Linked DNA regions of Mus musculus. The protein of the gene in region 2 interacts with the protein of the main gene of each other region in a pairwise test. Links are inferred from orthologs where the notes say so. Each region holds a gene or a part of one and is shown on either strand. Other genes may lie near its edges.

Region 1 (4,245 bases), on a different chromosome or scaffold from region 2:
TTCACTTTTATTGGGGGGGGGGAAAGGTTATCTTGAAATTCATACAAAAAGTTGGTGAGTAGTAAGGTCCACAAAAATAATTCCTTCCTATACTTCCTGTTATGTGACACAGCAGAATCATGTTAAAGAAAAAAAATGTGACTAAATACAAACTTTCTAAATTTTAAAGTACATTTCACCAAAGACAATCTTAATCATTAGTAAAATAGTATGTATCTTACAAGGCAACTGTGCACCTCCCTCCACTTTGTTCTTTTTAGGAAATAGTGAAAATTTTTAGATATGGACACAAGACAGCTAACTTAAATAGAATACAATTGTTTGAATAATGACTGCTTAAATATGCAGATCTTTGATCAGGAACATTTTTTTCCATGTTGCCTGCTATAATTAATCTTATCAAAAAGCTAGAACAAAGCACAGTATTGTTTAAAAGGCAATGAAAAACAGCTTAATGGCTAGCTAGGAAGTCTTAACTTGCTAATTTACCTGAACAATAATTAGTATCATCATATAAAATCCTGTCTTTTCACAACATTTATATAATTCTGCCCAGGAGATTATTATCTACGACACTTTACATTTATAAGCACCACCTATTCAATTACACATACCTATTTACATATGACATCGGAGAGGAATGAACAAATGATCTCAATGCTTGGTAATCAATATGAATACTTTCCTAGGTTTCAGTACTATATTGCAAAAAAAAGGATCTAAATTACATAATCATAAGTTAAACAGTTTTGTTGCTTTTAAATTAGTATTTCAAAGGGAATGGGAATTTTAAATTTATTTCATAATTTTTCTCTATTTGGTCTTTATAACTGATATAAGGTACCCAGACTCCTTTAAACTATATTTTTGCCTAGAAACTTCAAATAGCAGAATTACAATTTAAATGACATGGTGTATTTTAAGTAGTCTCATTTAGTGCAACCCTTGATAAAAGATCAAAAAGCAAGAAGATAATGATACTACAACTTGCAGATTTGTTTTCTATGTTTGTTGGGATTTTTTTTTTTTCTCTGACAGTACTGAGAACTGAACCCAGGGCTTCACAGAAGCTGGGCAAGCCCAACCCAACTTCTAAATCCTTAAAACTTGCCATTTCTTTTAAAAAGTTCCCCACTTTAACTTTTGGAATCATTTCTATAACAGCACAAAATATATGTCCTTAGGCAAATTGCAATTGTATTACATTTTAAAATCATATCTGTCTTACAGTTCTTTAATAAATGACTTTTCTGTTGAAAAAAATTCAAGTATTGCATTCATACACTATATAATAAGATTCTATTAGGTAGACAAGGACAGAACTGTTTTAACAAAGCTTGCCACTCTTTACAAATGTCATACAAAAATCTCTTTCTGATTACCAATGAATTAAATACTTAAAGCCTTTTTGTGCTTCTAATCAGAACATGAGTTAAATTTACAAATTTACTAGAGCATCTGAAAGCCTGGCTTCATTTAAATGGGTAAAGAGAAAGTTGAAATATTTTAAACTACACTTGTTTTCTCATGAAAACCACAGACAAACTGAAATCAAGTGTCATGTGAAACACCCCAGTTTCCTTTACAGCAGGAGTTATGATATTGTTCTGCTCAACTCTTAAAGAGTTCACTAAGCTTTCTACTTCCTCTTCTCTGCCAGACGTCGGCTGCCTTCTACTGAGGGTCACTGGGAAGATAAGGGTCAGCGTCCTGCTACAGACAGAAGGTGTCATTTTTAGCTCCCACCACCATCTCAGCTGCTTCAAGTGCTTGCTTTACATATAGTACGACTGTCATACTAAACTCCCCTGTCCTGTAAACTGTTTCTTATAAATGTCCCCCTCAAAGCAGATGATCCAAAACTTACTAGTGGCAGATAAAACACTGACATTAAACGATGACATTTTCAACCCTACCAGTTACTTTAAAGTATAATCAAATCTCGTCCTCTTGCTGCTAACAAAACGCGCGTGCAGGTTTGGGGTTGGGGGTTGAAGGGATCGAGGTCTCTACACGGTAAATTAGACAAGCAACATCTTTAGCTCGTGGGGGCGGGGGTAGTGTTTTCGCTTGGAACGAATTAAAACGCCACTGAGGACTTTCACAGCCACGCCACATTCTGTACCAGTGTCAGCCGCTAGCACGATTGGACTTAAAAAAAGAAAGCTCGTCTGAGGTCCGGAGGTTCCTCTTTTTTGTTCAAAAATGTAAAACTGGGTCTCCATACCACTGAGTCTTTAAACGCGAGGCTTCTCTGCTCTCCTTTACTGAGATTACCCCCTGTGATCCTAAAAGCACACCGTTGGGAATTTCGAAGGTTCTGGCTATTAGGAGAAGATCAGATTACAGTGCGCCGCTTTGATTTCACACGCAAACCCCGGAGCGGGCAACTTTTCAAACGGCTGACAATTTGCCAGATGAGAAGACTTGAAAGGCAGACCGTCCTAACCCCAAACGGAGCCCCCGACAGCTCCTCCCCGTGACCCGCGAGTGCTCGCCCCGGTACTCACTCGAGGCCATGGCTCGGCTCCGCGCGCCGCTCGCTGCAGCTTCCAGCGTCCGGCCCGAGGCTGCAAGGCAGCCAGTCAGTCAGTCAGTGAGTCAGTCAGCCAGGCAGTCGGTCAGGCAGGCAGTCAGCCAGCTAGCCCGTCAGTCAGCCAACCAGTGAGGAGGCTGAGCAGCCTCCGCAGCCGGGACGCCTGTCCTCGGACCACCCCCGGGCCTCCTCTTCTTTCCCGGCTCCTCTGGGTTTGCGGCTCACACCTTCCCACCCCCGAATCTTCGCGCTCCGGTCACTAGTGTCCTGGCGTCGCCTTGCCAGGATGCCGCGGCAGGGGCAGGGGGCGGGGCGGACCGCCCGGCGGAACGTGGGGGGAGGGGGGGGGATTTCCCGCTGCTTACGTCACTCGCGCCACCGCCTACCCGGGGCGGGGGGCGGAGCCTCGCGGCGGGCGCGCGACCCCGCGCGGGCCAGTGCGCTTACTTCCTCCAGAGCCACCACAGCCTGCACGCTCGCGCCGGGAGCTCCGTGAGGGCGCGCAGCGACGACTCCGCGCGTGAGAAGCCGTCGGTCCCTGAGAAATCCCCCTCCTCCAGAGTCCTTGAGAGCGCCGCTTAAAGCCGAGGGGCGTGTTCGTGACGTCATGCTGGCCGAGCGGCCGGAGGCGGGCCGGGCGGTGCACCGGGCGCGCTCCTTGGCCGCCCGAGGCCCGCCCGGGGTTTTCGACCGGTGGTTCCCCCTCTTCCCGATTTCGCACATGCAAATCTCCGCCCCCGCGCCAGAGAGTTGTCCGGGTGCTCTGGAGGGGAAGTGCGGAAGCGCCAGCGCCCGCGTTCGGCAGTAAGGCGCAGATTTGCATACGGGGACCCCCGCAGCCTTATTTTCCCTCTATATCTACATTACGTCTTTTACCTACCAAAGTTTTTCAGCTGCACTGCGAGGCCGCTAACCCCATTCTGTATAAATGTACACGACGTCCAGAGATTGGCCGAGATACCCACGGCCTGAGGCCTGGACCGAACTTTGGTGCTTTGACAGGTCAGGCGGAATCTTGTTTGCCTTCAGTTGCTAATACGCACCTGTTCTCTTAGTCTATGATGTATTAGCATGTCATTGTATACACGAGTATTAGGGTTGATTGGGGTTTGGAGAAGCTGAGTAGCTTGTCCATACTTTAGAGTTCTAGAAAGGAATTGCACGATTTAAGCTTAAGATTATCCAGCCCCGTTTAGCGCACTGCACTCCCAGCACGCGGGAGGCTGAGGTAGGTGGACTGTCTCAACAACAGAAATAACTCAGGGTTATCTGGCTCCACCTCTTACGTTCTCCAGTCATTTACTGACTAAAACAAGTAATGGAGGGGAAATAGAGAATATCATCTTGCATGGCCAACAAGATAGCTTAGAGAATAATTGCGCTTGCTACCAAGCCTGACAAATTGAGTTTGATCCATGGAAGGACAGAATCAACTTCCAAAAGTTGTCCTCTTACCTCTACATGCGCTTCAAAGAACGCCAAAGTGTGTGTGTGTGTGTGGGGGGGGGGGGGTTGGATAATTAAAATATATACTATCCTGTCATAAAAAATTCATCCTGTTATACAACTCCCCCAAAGTGAAGGAAATAATTAAAATCTGCTAGTTCCAAATTGTCTTCTCAAAGAGTATAAATAGCAGTTGTGTTTTTAGTTAAACACAATCATAAACAAGTCACAAAGATATAAAATAAAATAAAACAATTAGCAGG
Region 2 (5,925 bases):
AGAAGAGACAAGATATAACAAACACCAGAGACCTCCAATGCTTAGTGGCCGATACTTGAGAGAGAGACTATCCAGCCTGAAGGGAGAAACTACTGCCCTCCACTCAGCCCCTCACAGGCCACTAAGGACCCCACAGAAGCCAATGGAAACAACTTAGGAACCAGGTTTAGAACTTAAGTTACCTTGTATTAACCTCTTCACTGGGAACCCGGGTCTGTCTTTGCAATCCACGGCTGTAGGTAAAGACAGAAAAGCAGAAGTTACTAAGGGTAAGGGTCATTGGCCAGCTAAAGTCTACAACAGCCAAACACAAGCAGGCTCCTGCGGCGCTGTCTGGTCCACTTGAACCGCCTCTTTGCTTGAGACAGGGTTGAACTATGCAGCACAGGCTGACCTAGAAAAACTCATGGCAATCCTGACTCTGCCTCCCAAATGCTAACATCCCAGGCACAAAGTATCACAGCCTGCTTTTAGACTTAAAAAAATCATTACTTAGTTTGTTTGTATATGGGGGTCTTAGTATGTAATTGGGATGACCTGGAACTTACAAAGGTCTACTTGCCCCTGCCTCTCAAATGCTGGGAATGAAGACACATACCTACCACCATGCCCAGCCACAGTGTATTTTTATTTACGTGTATACATGTGTTTGTGTGCATGGTATCTATCAGTTCCCCTGGATCTGGAGCTATAGGCAGTTCTGAGGCACTGGATGTAGGTGCTTGGATGGGAACTCTGGTCCTCTGTAAGAGTAATGAGTGTCCTTAACCGCTGAGCCTCTCTCCTTCTCTGCAGTTTTACTTTTTTTTTTTAATTAACTTATTTAATATATATGAGTACACTGTAGCTGTCTTCAGACGCACCAGAAGAGAGCATTAGATCCCATTACAGATGGTTGTGAGCTGCCATGTGGTTGCTGGGAAGTAAACTCAGGACCTCTAGAATAGCAGTCAGTGTTCTTAACTGCTGAGCCATCTCTCCAGCCCCAGCAGTTTTATGTTTTTATATTTGCTGTGTGTGCACCTGCCAGTCCACATTGCCACATGGAGTGTCACAGAACATATCAACTTGCAGGAGTCAGTCCTGTTGGTCTACTTGTAGGTTCTAATGGCAGAGCCCAAGTGGTCAGACTTAACAGCAAGTACCCTGACCCTTATGCCCCATTCTGAGCCCCCAGAGGCAGTCTTCATGGCTGGGGAAGGTTTGGGGATGCTACTCACTTTCAGTTACTATACAGGCACTCCCTATAAACAATCTACAATGAACAAGTCAGTCCCACAACAAAAAATTATTTGGCTCAAAATGTCAACACTGAGCAACACTACCCTAGACTCAGTCCCTCCTGAGTCCCTCACTCAGAAACTTGCATTATGGCCCTTCTTCTAGGTCAGTTAAGGCTCAACTGTCCAAAAATGTCCCAAAAGTCAAGTGAGGGCTGACAAGATGGTTCAGTGAGTAGGGAGGGGGACTTTCCAAGCCTCCTGACTCTAAAGCTCAATCCTCAGGACCCACATGGGGGAAGGGAAGAACTGATTCACACAGACACAGTGAGTGTGACTGGACAAATGGATCAGAAACTAAAAGCACTTGCTGTTCTGATCCCAGATCCAACAGTTCATAACCAACCACCGAAAGTCTAGCACCAAGGGATCCAGTGCCCTCTCTGGCTTCCATGGGCACCTAGCTCATGTGCATAGACATACACAGACACATAACAAGAAATAAATCTTTAAGTAAACAAAACCAATTTTTTTAAGTGAAGGTATCCTACTCTTAAATAGATGAAATGAATAAATTTCGTTGCAGAATCTGTACTCATGTCAAGACACAATAAAGAACCTGGGGTTGGGCTCAATGGGTAGCATGCTGACCTAACATGTAGGAGTGTCTAAGTTCCATCCTAGCCTTGCATAAACTAGGGCATGTTAACACTTGGAGTTAGAGGCTTGCCTGGGCTACATGGGGACCTGGTCTAAAACTAATAACTACAAAAAAGAAACAAATTAAAGACCTCATGAAAGAGATTATCTCCCACTAAAATGAATTTAAAGTCGCAAGAATAAGTAAGCACATTAAAACCCATGTATATTAGACCATAAATAGAGCCTGTCTTTTTGTTTGTTTTGAGACTCTCTACATAGTCTTGATTGTCTTGAACTTGCTATGTAGATCAGGCCGGCCTCAAACTCAGAGATCCACTTGCATCTGCCTCTGAGTGCTGCTGGGATTAAAGGTGTGTGCCACCACACCCAGATGAGAACCTGCCATAGGTAAATGCCTTGGGTGCATAGAAACTCCATCAGTAATTTGGGGTGAATTCCCATACATTTTGCTAATGTTGCATGCAATTCAGACTTAAGCTTTCCTACAACCTCAGCTATCCAGAGTAGAAACAGCCCAGGCACACCAACTTAGAGACTCGGACCCCCAGAACACTCTCCCTTCTTCTCATTTGAATGGAAGGTAACATCACCTCAATTTTCTATTTTAAAAAAAAAAGCCACCCCCCCCCGAAGGACACTTTTTTCTTTAAAAGTTTTATTCCACTTTAATTAATTTATTGGATACAGGCTTGTGGAATTGATTCTCTTCTTCCCAGGATACAATTCAGGTGGTCAGAGGCCAGATCAACCTGAAATTCATCATCCTCCTGCCTCAGCTTCTAGGATGCTGAACTGCAGGTATGAACTGCTACACCAAACTGGTCTTTATTGCCAGAGCAATAGTGTCGGTTTTAAACGTTCCACCTTGGTTAAATAAAAACAATGCTCCATGAGAGTCCAGGAATTGTACGACTATTAATGCCCACATAAAATTCTCAAGCCAGTCAGAACAACAGCTCCAGCCTTCCTGGAATACCAGGCTGTGAAGGGTGTGTGTGTGTGTGTGTGTGTGTGTGTGTGTGTGTGTGTGTGTGTGTATCTTTGATGATCAGAACTGTAAAAGGGGCCAGAGTTATCCCAGAAGTGGATGGAGATTGAGGATGCGGCTCTCCATCCTGAAATTGGCCATCCCCAATTCCCCTCATCTCCGAGCTTGCAGACTAGTGTAATGTACCCAGAAGGGCTGTCTAGTCAGTGGTGCTCAATTGGAGAAATCTTAGTCTATCAGGACCGACCTCGTCTTTTCCAGCCCCTCAATCGTTCAACACACACTGGGGATACAATTTAGCGGGGAATAGGCACCCCACATTTCGGGAAGCCTACCGCATGCTACAAAGACTCCTAACACGTACCCGACTGGTCCATACCACACTCACAAAGGGCCCCTTTTCGGGACCCAGAAAGGGTTCCTGGCTATGCTTTAACCACCCAAACCGACCTTCCTGGACTAGCCCTGCCCCGCAGAGTTGCTGCTACTCTGGTGTCCAGAGCTCAAGTGAGCACGGGCCTCAATTTCCCCGCCCATTGCAAAGGTCCGAACTGCTCTGGAATTCACAAACGCACTTAATAACTTGTACGACTGACTTTTCTTCTCCTTGCCCTCAGTTTCTCCACTTGCTGCTACAAGATCCAATTGATTTCAAGAGGACACAAGCACTCAGGATCCATCAAATCCAACTCGGGGCCTCGGTTTCCCCATTTACTCCAGCTATTTAGGCGACACAAGATGCCTTCGGGAGCTTGCGAAGCTGACTCTTCCCCCTCCCCGAGGCCTCAGTTTCCTAAGAGCCCTCCCTTCTCCTGGTCTCCGCCCCGAGGCCACTTAGGCTTGGATCCGCTCCTTTAGGCAGTTTCACCCACCCGCGGCTGTCCGCGTCGCGGCCTCCGGCTCCTCCAACATCTCCGCGACGGCGGCGGCGGCGGCGGCGGCGGCGGCGGCGGCGGCGGCTCAGGCTTCAGTCGGGCGGCCAGGCTGCACACTCCGCCTCCCACCGGTGTCACTTCTGCTGCCGCCGCGGCCGCCGCGCTCGTATTTGGCGGGAACCGCGGCAACCACCGCGGCCCGCGCGCCGATTGGAGGAGCTTGCGTCACGTGACACCTCAGCCTCCGGAAAAAGAGGTGCACTCAGTACGTCCTCGCGAGAACTTCGGTTTATGTGCTAGAAAATCCCGCGGGAGGCGGATGAAGGCTCCTTTCCGGCGGTTCAGGAGCTGCTGGGAAGATCTGCATTTCTATTGATCCTAAGAAATGTCAATCTAAAATATCAGCGTTTGCACACCCCCCACACCCCTTTTATTGGCTATATGCGTTCCAGGAGGTGGGAAGGGTACGTTTAGATTAGTAGTGACAACTTGAAATTACCCATTGGAAGAGTAATGGGAATTAAGGTATAATAGTGACGGGTTGAAAGTAGCCATTGTAATTAGAGAATTACTTCCTTTAATTTTATTTCTTGCATTAATTTCTCTTTTAACTATAATTTTTTTTCGAGACAGGGTTTCTCTTTGTAGCCCTGGCTGTCCTGGAACTCACTCTGTAGACCAGGCTGGCCTTGAACTCAGAAATCTGCCTACCTCTGTCTCCCAAGTGCTGGGATTAAAGGCGTGTGCCACCATTGCCCGGATATAAACTCTTTCTAAAAATGTTACAGCTGGGCATTTCATTTTTGAAATGATGAACCACTTTTTAATAAATTAACAATTTGCTTTATTTTAAAATTAGGAATGTTTTTCTATTGTAAAATTATAAATCTTTTCAACCATATATTCCTTCTTTTCGTGTAAATTACTTTGAAGAATATTAAATGAAAAAAATTGAGTCTGGTGCTTCATGCTTTTAATCCTAGTACTTGGGATTTACAAGCAGGTGGATCTCTGAGTTCGAGGACAACCTGATCTACATAGCAAGATCCAAGACAGCCAGTGATACGATGTATAAAAAAATGTTTTTCAGCCGGCCTTTAATCCCAGCACTCTGGAGGCAGAGGCAGGTGGATTTCTGAGTTTGAGGCCAGCCTGGTCTGCAGAGTGAGTTCCAGGACAGCCTGGGCTATACAGAGAAACCCTGTCTCAAAAACAACAACAACAACAAAAGAATAATTGCCTCTGTCTTTTGTTTTTGTTTTTAATTTTAAGACAGAATCTCACTATGTAGCCTTGCTGATCTGGAACCCAATCACTAGTTTCTAAATCTTTTCTTGTTGTTGTTGCTGCTGTTGTTAGGTGGAGGAAGAAACCTTTCTTTATCTGCAAACAGCTCGAATGCCTGCAACAGTTTTCTTGAAGCTGTGGCTAGTAAGTGGGTTATTTAGCTAATGAATTAGTTGTATGAATTGCTTTTGGGCCATGGGCTCAGTGAAGGTAAGGAGTGCTCTAGTGTCACGGACCTCATCAAATCTCTGACTTGCTGAAGAATATAATTTGATTGAATTGTGTGGGTCTCGTGGAGCCAATCCTGCTGTCAAGGACCTGTCAGCCCTGTATTTGGGAGGTGAAGGCAGAAAGATTAGGAGTTAAAGGCCACGGTGAGCTAAGTACCAAGTTTGAAGCCAGCCTCCACCATCTCAAAACATATAAAATAAAGAGCACCCTTGAGGGAGTCTTGTGAGTTGCTGGTGGGCGGTGGGCGTGCCAGGAAACCCTGGCTGGCATCCAGTTCTGTTTCGGAAAGGAGACATGGTGTCCCAGGCCTGTTATTGCAGCACTAAGAGAGGAGAGGCCGGTTTATGTTACCCTGTCTCAAAAAAACAAAAGAAACAGAAACTACTCATACTCCAAACTTTTTATAAAGACTCCTGGATTCAGGAGCAGTAAAGATGGCACATACATATTTTTTGATCTACTGCAGTACAACCCTTTGAGTCATTTGGAACCTTCCAGTAATCTCTGGGTTCATGAAACCACCCCAACTTTTCACCAATTTCAACCCTAGCCATTTTCCTGTGTCTGCTTTAGGATTTATTTACTCATTACCTCCATTCATTATTAATCTCCAGGTCATGCTTGCCTGGTCTGTAACTGGTTATGTAGTCCAGACTGGCCG
Region 3 (4,269 bases), on a different chromosome or scaffold from region 2:
ACTATGAAGAACTACGTGCAGCTATGGATGTTGATCTTAGAACTATAGAACAGTCTATAACCAAATTAGAAGAATCTTTAACTTCCCTGTCCGAAGTGGTGCTACAAAATAGAAGGGGATTAGACTTATTATTCCTTAAAGAAGGAGGACTCTGTGCTGCCCTAAAAGAAGAATGTTGTTTTTATGTTGACCATTCAGGAGTAATCAAAGATTCTATGGCCAAACTTAGAGAACGCCTAGATATACGTAAAAGAGAAAGAGAAAGCCAACAAGGATGGTTCGAAAGCTGGTTTAATAAGTCCCCTTGGCTCACCACTCTCCTCTCCACCATAGCAGGACCTTTAATTACACTTATGCTTTTGCTTACTTTTGGCCCCTGCATCCTTAATAAGTTGGTAGCTTTTATTAGAGAAAGGATAAATGCAGTACATGTTATGGTACTAAGGCAACAATATCGGGTCCTCCAAGAGGTTGAAAACTGGCTCTAAGATTAGAGCTGTTTTCTAAAAGGAGTGGGGGATGAAGAATAAAGATAAAAAATTACTGAACTCTTCCTCACCCCAGAGCCCGACCCCTCCCATCTAGAGATTGTTCCCAGAACACTCCTGAACTCTTCACCCCAGAATGCATTCCTGAACTCCTCATCCTAGAGTTCGAACCCTCCCAACTAAAGACTGTTCCAAGAACATTTTTGAGATAAGGGCCTCCTGGAACAACCTCAGAATGAACCGGGTACATTGCCAAATAATAGGACATGACCCCTTAGTTACGTAGAATTCCCTTGGCAGAACCCCTTGTCCCTTGGCAGAACCCCTTAGTTATGCAAACTTGTACTTTCCCTGCCCCGCTCTCCCCCCTTGAGTTTTTCTTATATAAGCCTGTGAAAAATTTGGCTCGAGGTCGATTCTCCTCTACACCATACTAGGTGTATGAGCTTTGACCCCAGAGCTCTGGTCTATGTGCTTTCTTGCTGTTGCTTTATTAAATCTTGCCCTCTACATTTTGAGTTCGGTCTCAGTGTCTTCTTGGGTCCGCGGCTGAGTGAGGGTCTCCCTTCGGGGGTCTTTCATTTGCACACCACACCTCCTCCTTGGTTCCCAAGCAAGGAACCTGGCCAGGGTGCAGCGATCCTATTCCACAAAGAAGCGGGTACCAATCCTGAAGAAGGCAGTCACAGGAACAAAGGCGGAATGTCTCCTGGAAAAGGAAGTGGACAGGCATAACCTCGTCGTTCAGTGCTCCTGCTATTTGTGGAGACCGAAATTCGGAGTGGGCCGAGCCGGCCAGGCCATTCACGCCCCCTTGTGTCCGGAGCGACTTTGGAGCGGAGCAGCAGGGAAGGTGGAGGTGCCTGTGCACCGAGGCGCGCAGACGCACAGGCAACCGAGACCCGGCGGGCTGCGGGTGTTGTCAGTGCGCAGGCGCTGAAGATCCCCGGGAATCCGCGCGCCGCTGTGAAGCCGCAGTGCGCAGGCGCGGAGCCTCCCCAATGAGGGCACGCGTGACCAGGCTGTACACACAGCGGCTGGTCCTAGTCGGAGCCCCAAAGGCAAGCATTTGGTTTCCGGTTCCGGGAGTAAGCAACCGCCGCAGAGGCGACTGTTTTGGAAGAGGCACTGGTGGAGGAGGAAGAGAAGAAGAGTGGAACGGGCCGGTCGCGCTAGTGGGATCCTTCTCATGGGTCCACGGGCCTAGAGCGGAGGAAGCTGCGGGCCTGGTGTCAAGCTGGTGAGACAGCCGTGGGAGTGGCGACAGCTCGGGAGGAGGCTGTGGAGGCTCGGAACGCTAGCGGGGGCCCTCGCCTCCGGAGAAGGAATGACTTCCTCTGAATGTTTAAAGAGGGGACTGGGGTAACTGGACAGAAAGACCGAAGAGGAAGGGATGTGGCTCAGGGCATTGACAGCGGTGTCTAGATTCTGGGACTAGGATGGCGAGGAGTAGAAGAGAGAGAACGTTCAGAGAGTCATTGAGTCTTCGTGTTAAACAGGATAGAAATGGCGTCCCAAAGCTGATCATGCAAAGATAAGGCCTCGAGACGGGAGAAATAGTTAGAATAATGAGGGACTGGACACTCTTGGTGGACAAAAAGAAGTAGAATGTCCGATGGTTGGGAGGGAAGGCCTTGTCTTGGAACACAAAACTAGGAAATTGGGAGGCCAGGTCACTGTGGAGGGAAAAGGAAGTTTCACAAGATGATAAGAGGAATGGAGAATGGTAATACAGTTAGAGAAAGAGTAGCTAACACCGGCTGTAGGGGTGAGCAATAGAGACGCTTGGGACCGAGACTGGAGAAGAGTTGTGGGTCTGAATAATGAGGGGAAAATAAGCTCTGGGGCCAACTCTTGAACTTAAGAGGGAGGCTTCCAACCTGAGGAATGGGAAGAATGTGTGGTAATGTTTGATCCAGTGTATGGAGGAGTTGGGGGCTCTGATCCATAAATGCAGCTAGAACACCGGGAGACGTTGGAAACTCAGGTCAAGGAAAGTTTAAATGGGTGCTTAGAACACTGAAGCAGGGTCCCAAGGACCAGAGAATTAGGGACCTCTTACCCAGAATAGGAGGACCGAGTCTTCTCAGACTGAGGAAGGGTGATATGCATGTTTGGAGGAGAACAAAGAGGGAGAAACAGGTTGCTTTTGTGGCCTGGAAATACTTTGCCACTCTCCCCTATACTCTACTTTCTTTCAATCTTGCAGGCTTCTGTTCTGTCCCTGAAGCATCTATGGCTGAGTCCTGGCAGGACTGCCCAGCCCTGGGCCCTGGCTGGAAACGCCGAGAGTCCTTTCGAAAGTCAGGGGCCTCGTTTGGACGCTCAGACATCTATTACCAGAGGTAACGGGTGTGCTCTGGGCAATGTTCAGTGGCGTTGGACCTTGTTAGTAATTAGAGCAAAGGGGTGTGTTTAAATCTATGGATGGAGTTAAAATTGTGCACATAGTCCTTATTACAAGTTTTGTGTTTTCTTAATCATGTATTCCTAATAAAGTTGATTTAATTTGGTCAAAGTCAATATTCACGGTGCATTTGTGATTATTCACAGACAAACATGGAACAGCTAAGAATTTGAATTGTCTAGTGCGTGTATTCGGAATCAAAGTTAAACAAGAACTCTCTCTCTCTCTCTCTCTCTGGTTCTGTAAACTGGTCATTCTTTCTACTGTCTCTTTAGAGCCATATTTTTGTTGGCAAATGTGTTGTTTAAAATGACTCCCAAATAAAGTGCTGAATTATTTTCTAGTGTTCTGAGCACGAGAAGATTTTCTTTCCTCCTTGTCAGATAAGCTTTTCTTCCACACATGAATTGCAGTGCTGTCTGGTTGAGTTGCTGTGTTCAAAAATTAGAACTGGTCCATCCAGAACAAGAAGAACAAACTTGCTGAGATGTGTGTGAGGCTGCTCTGGAAAGAACAGAAATTGTTGTAGGCTATTTAGTCACACTGTGAACCCCCTGAGACTGATTAGACCTACTAGGAAAAAAGTCTTGTTTGTAGCTGTGGTGTGGCTCAAACTTAGGTCAAGAGGCAGAACAAGCAACCAGTTGACAGGAAGTGAACATAAGATAATTAAAATATCATAGAGAATAAGAGGTAGTCATGAGGGTGGATAGAGAGATGCACAGGAAGTAGAAGGGAGGGACTTTCAGTTTGAAGAAGGGATTTTGTGTGAGTGGGAAAAGCTTGCTGGGCTGTCAGCAGAGGAGGAAGGTCAACTGGGTGCTTTCTCTGCCTCTCTGAGCTATCGGGCTCCCAAGTCTTCAATGGTAAAATCGAATGATTGAGATTTTTGTTAAAAAACAAGAAATTACCATCTATAGTGCTTGATGAAGCTTCAGAGAAGTTGTTAAGGTAGCCGTGAACCAATGGCCTTACAGTAAAGCACAGTACCAGCATCGTTACAGGGAAAGCCAAAAATGTATCAGCCATCATTAGGGAAATGGAACCCTCTCAGCTGGTGCTGGCTGGCCTGTGTGTCTCAGAAGATGATGTGGTGGAGAAACACTGTACTTACGGTATATGTTCTGTACAGCAGGTGTCTTCAGGAAAACAACAAAACATTAGCAGACAAACCTAGATAAAACATCCTCTAAAGCCATTGGCTCTTAGTCATTAACAATCATGGAGTCATTTGTACGAAACCAGTGTTTTTAAGCAGAGACTCATAAAACAGAGGACAATTGATCAGTTGCTTGAAAATGTGACAGGCTTGCTGGAACCCACCTGTGTCTCCTGTAGGCACAGTGGTCCTTGTTTCAAAAATTCAGGGTTTGT

What was found. The genes of interacting proteins can lie anywhere in the genome.
Region 1: the proteins of Chaf1a (region 2) and Rel interact in binary tests that used the Homo sapiens proteins (3 or more experiments, as listed by UniProt). The two-hybrid records come from large-scale screens. The link is inferred for Mus musculus from reciprocal best matches to the Homo sapiens genes CHAF1A and REL.
Region 3: the proteins of Chaf1a (region 2) and Mbd1 interact in binary tests that used the Homo sapiens proteins (3 or more experiments, as listed by UniProt). The link is inferred for Mus musculus from reciprocal best matches to the Homo sapiens genes CHAF1A and MBD1.

Annotation. Positions count from the first base shown.
Region 1 is NC_000077.6:23,768,170-23,772,414, forward strand, and holds the start of Rel (proto-oncogene c-Rel), read right to left. Parts: upstream 2,801-4,245; 5' UTR 2,521-2,800; coding exon 2,511-2,520; intron 1-2,510. UniProt on the Homo sapiens protein: Proto-oncogene that may play a role in differentiation and lymphopoiesis.
Region 2 is NC_000083.6:56,038,370-56,044,294, reverse strand, and holds the start of Chaf1a (chromatin assembly factor 1 subunit A), read right to left. Parts: upstream 3,880-5,925; 5' UTR 3,784-3,879; coding exon 3,744-3,783; intron 234-3,743; coding exon 183-233; intron 1-182. UniProt on the Homo sapiens protein: Acts as a component of the histone chaperone complex chromatin assembly factor 1 (CAF-1), which assembles histone octamers onto DNA during replication and repair.
Region 3 is NC_000084.6:74,266,706-74,270,974, forward strand, and holds the start of Mbd1 (methyl-CpG-binding domain protein 1), read left to right. Parts: upstream 1-1,469; 5' UTR 1,470-1,728; intron 1,729-2,697; 5' UTR 2,698-2,723; coding exon 2,724-2,833; intron 2,834-4,269. UniProt on the Homo sapiens protein: Transcriptional repressor that binds CpG islands in promoters where the DNA is methylated at position 5 of cytosine within CpG dinucleotides. Binding is abolished by the presence of 7-mG that is produced by DNA damage by methylmethanesulfonate (MMS).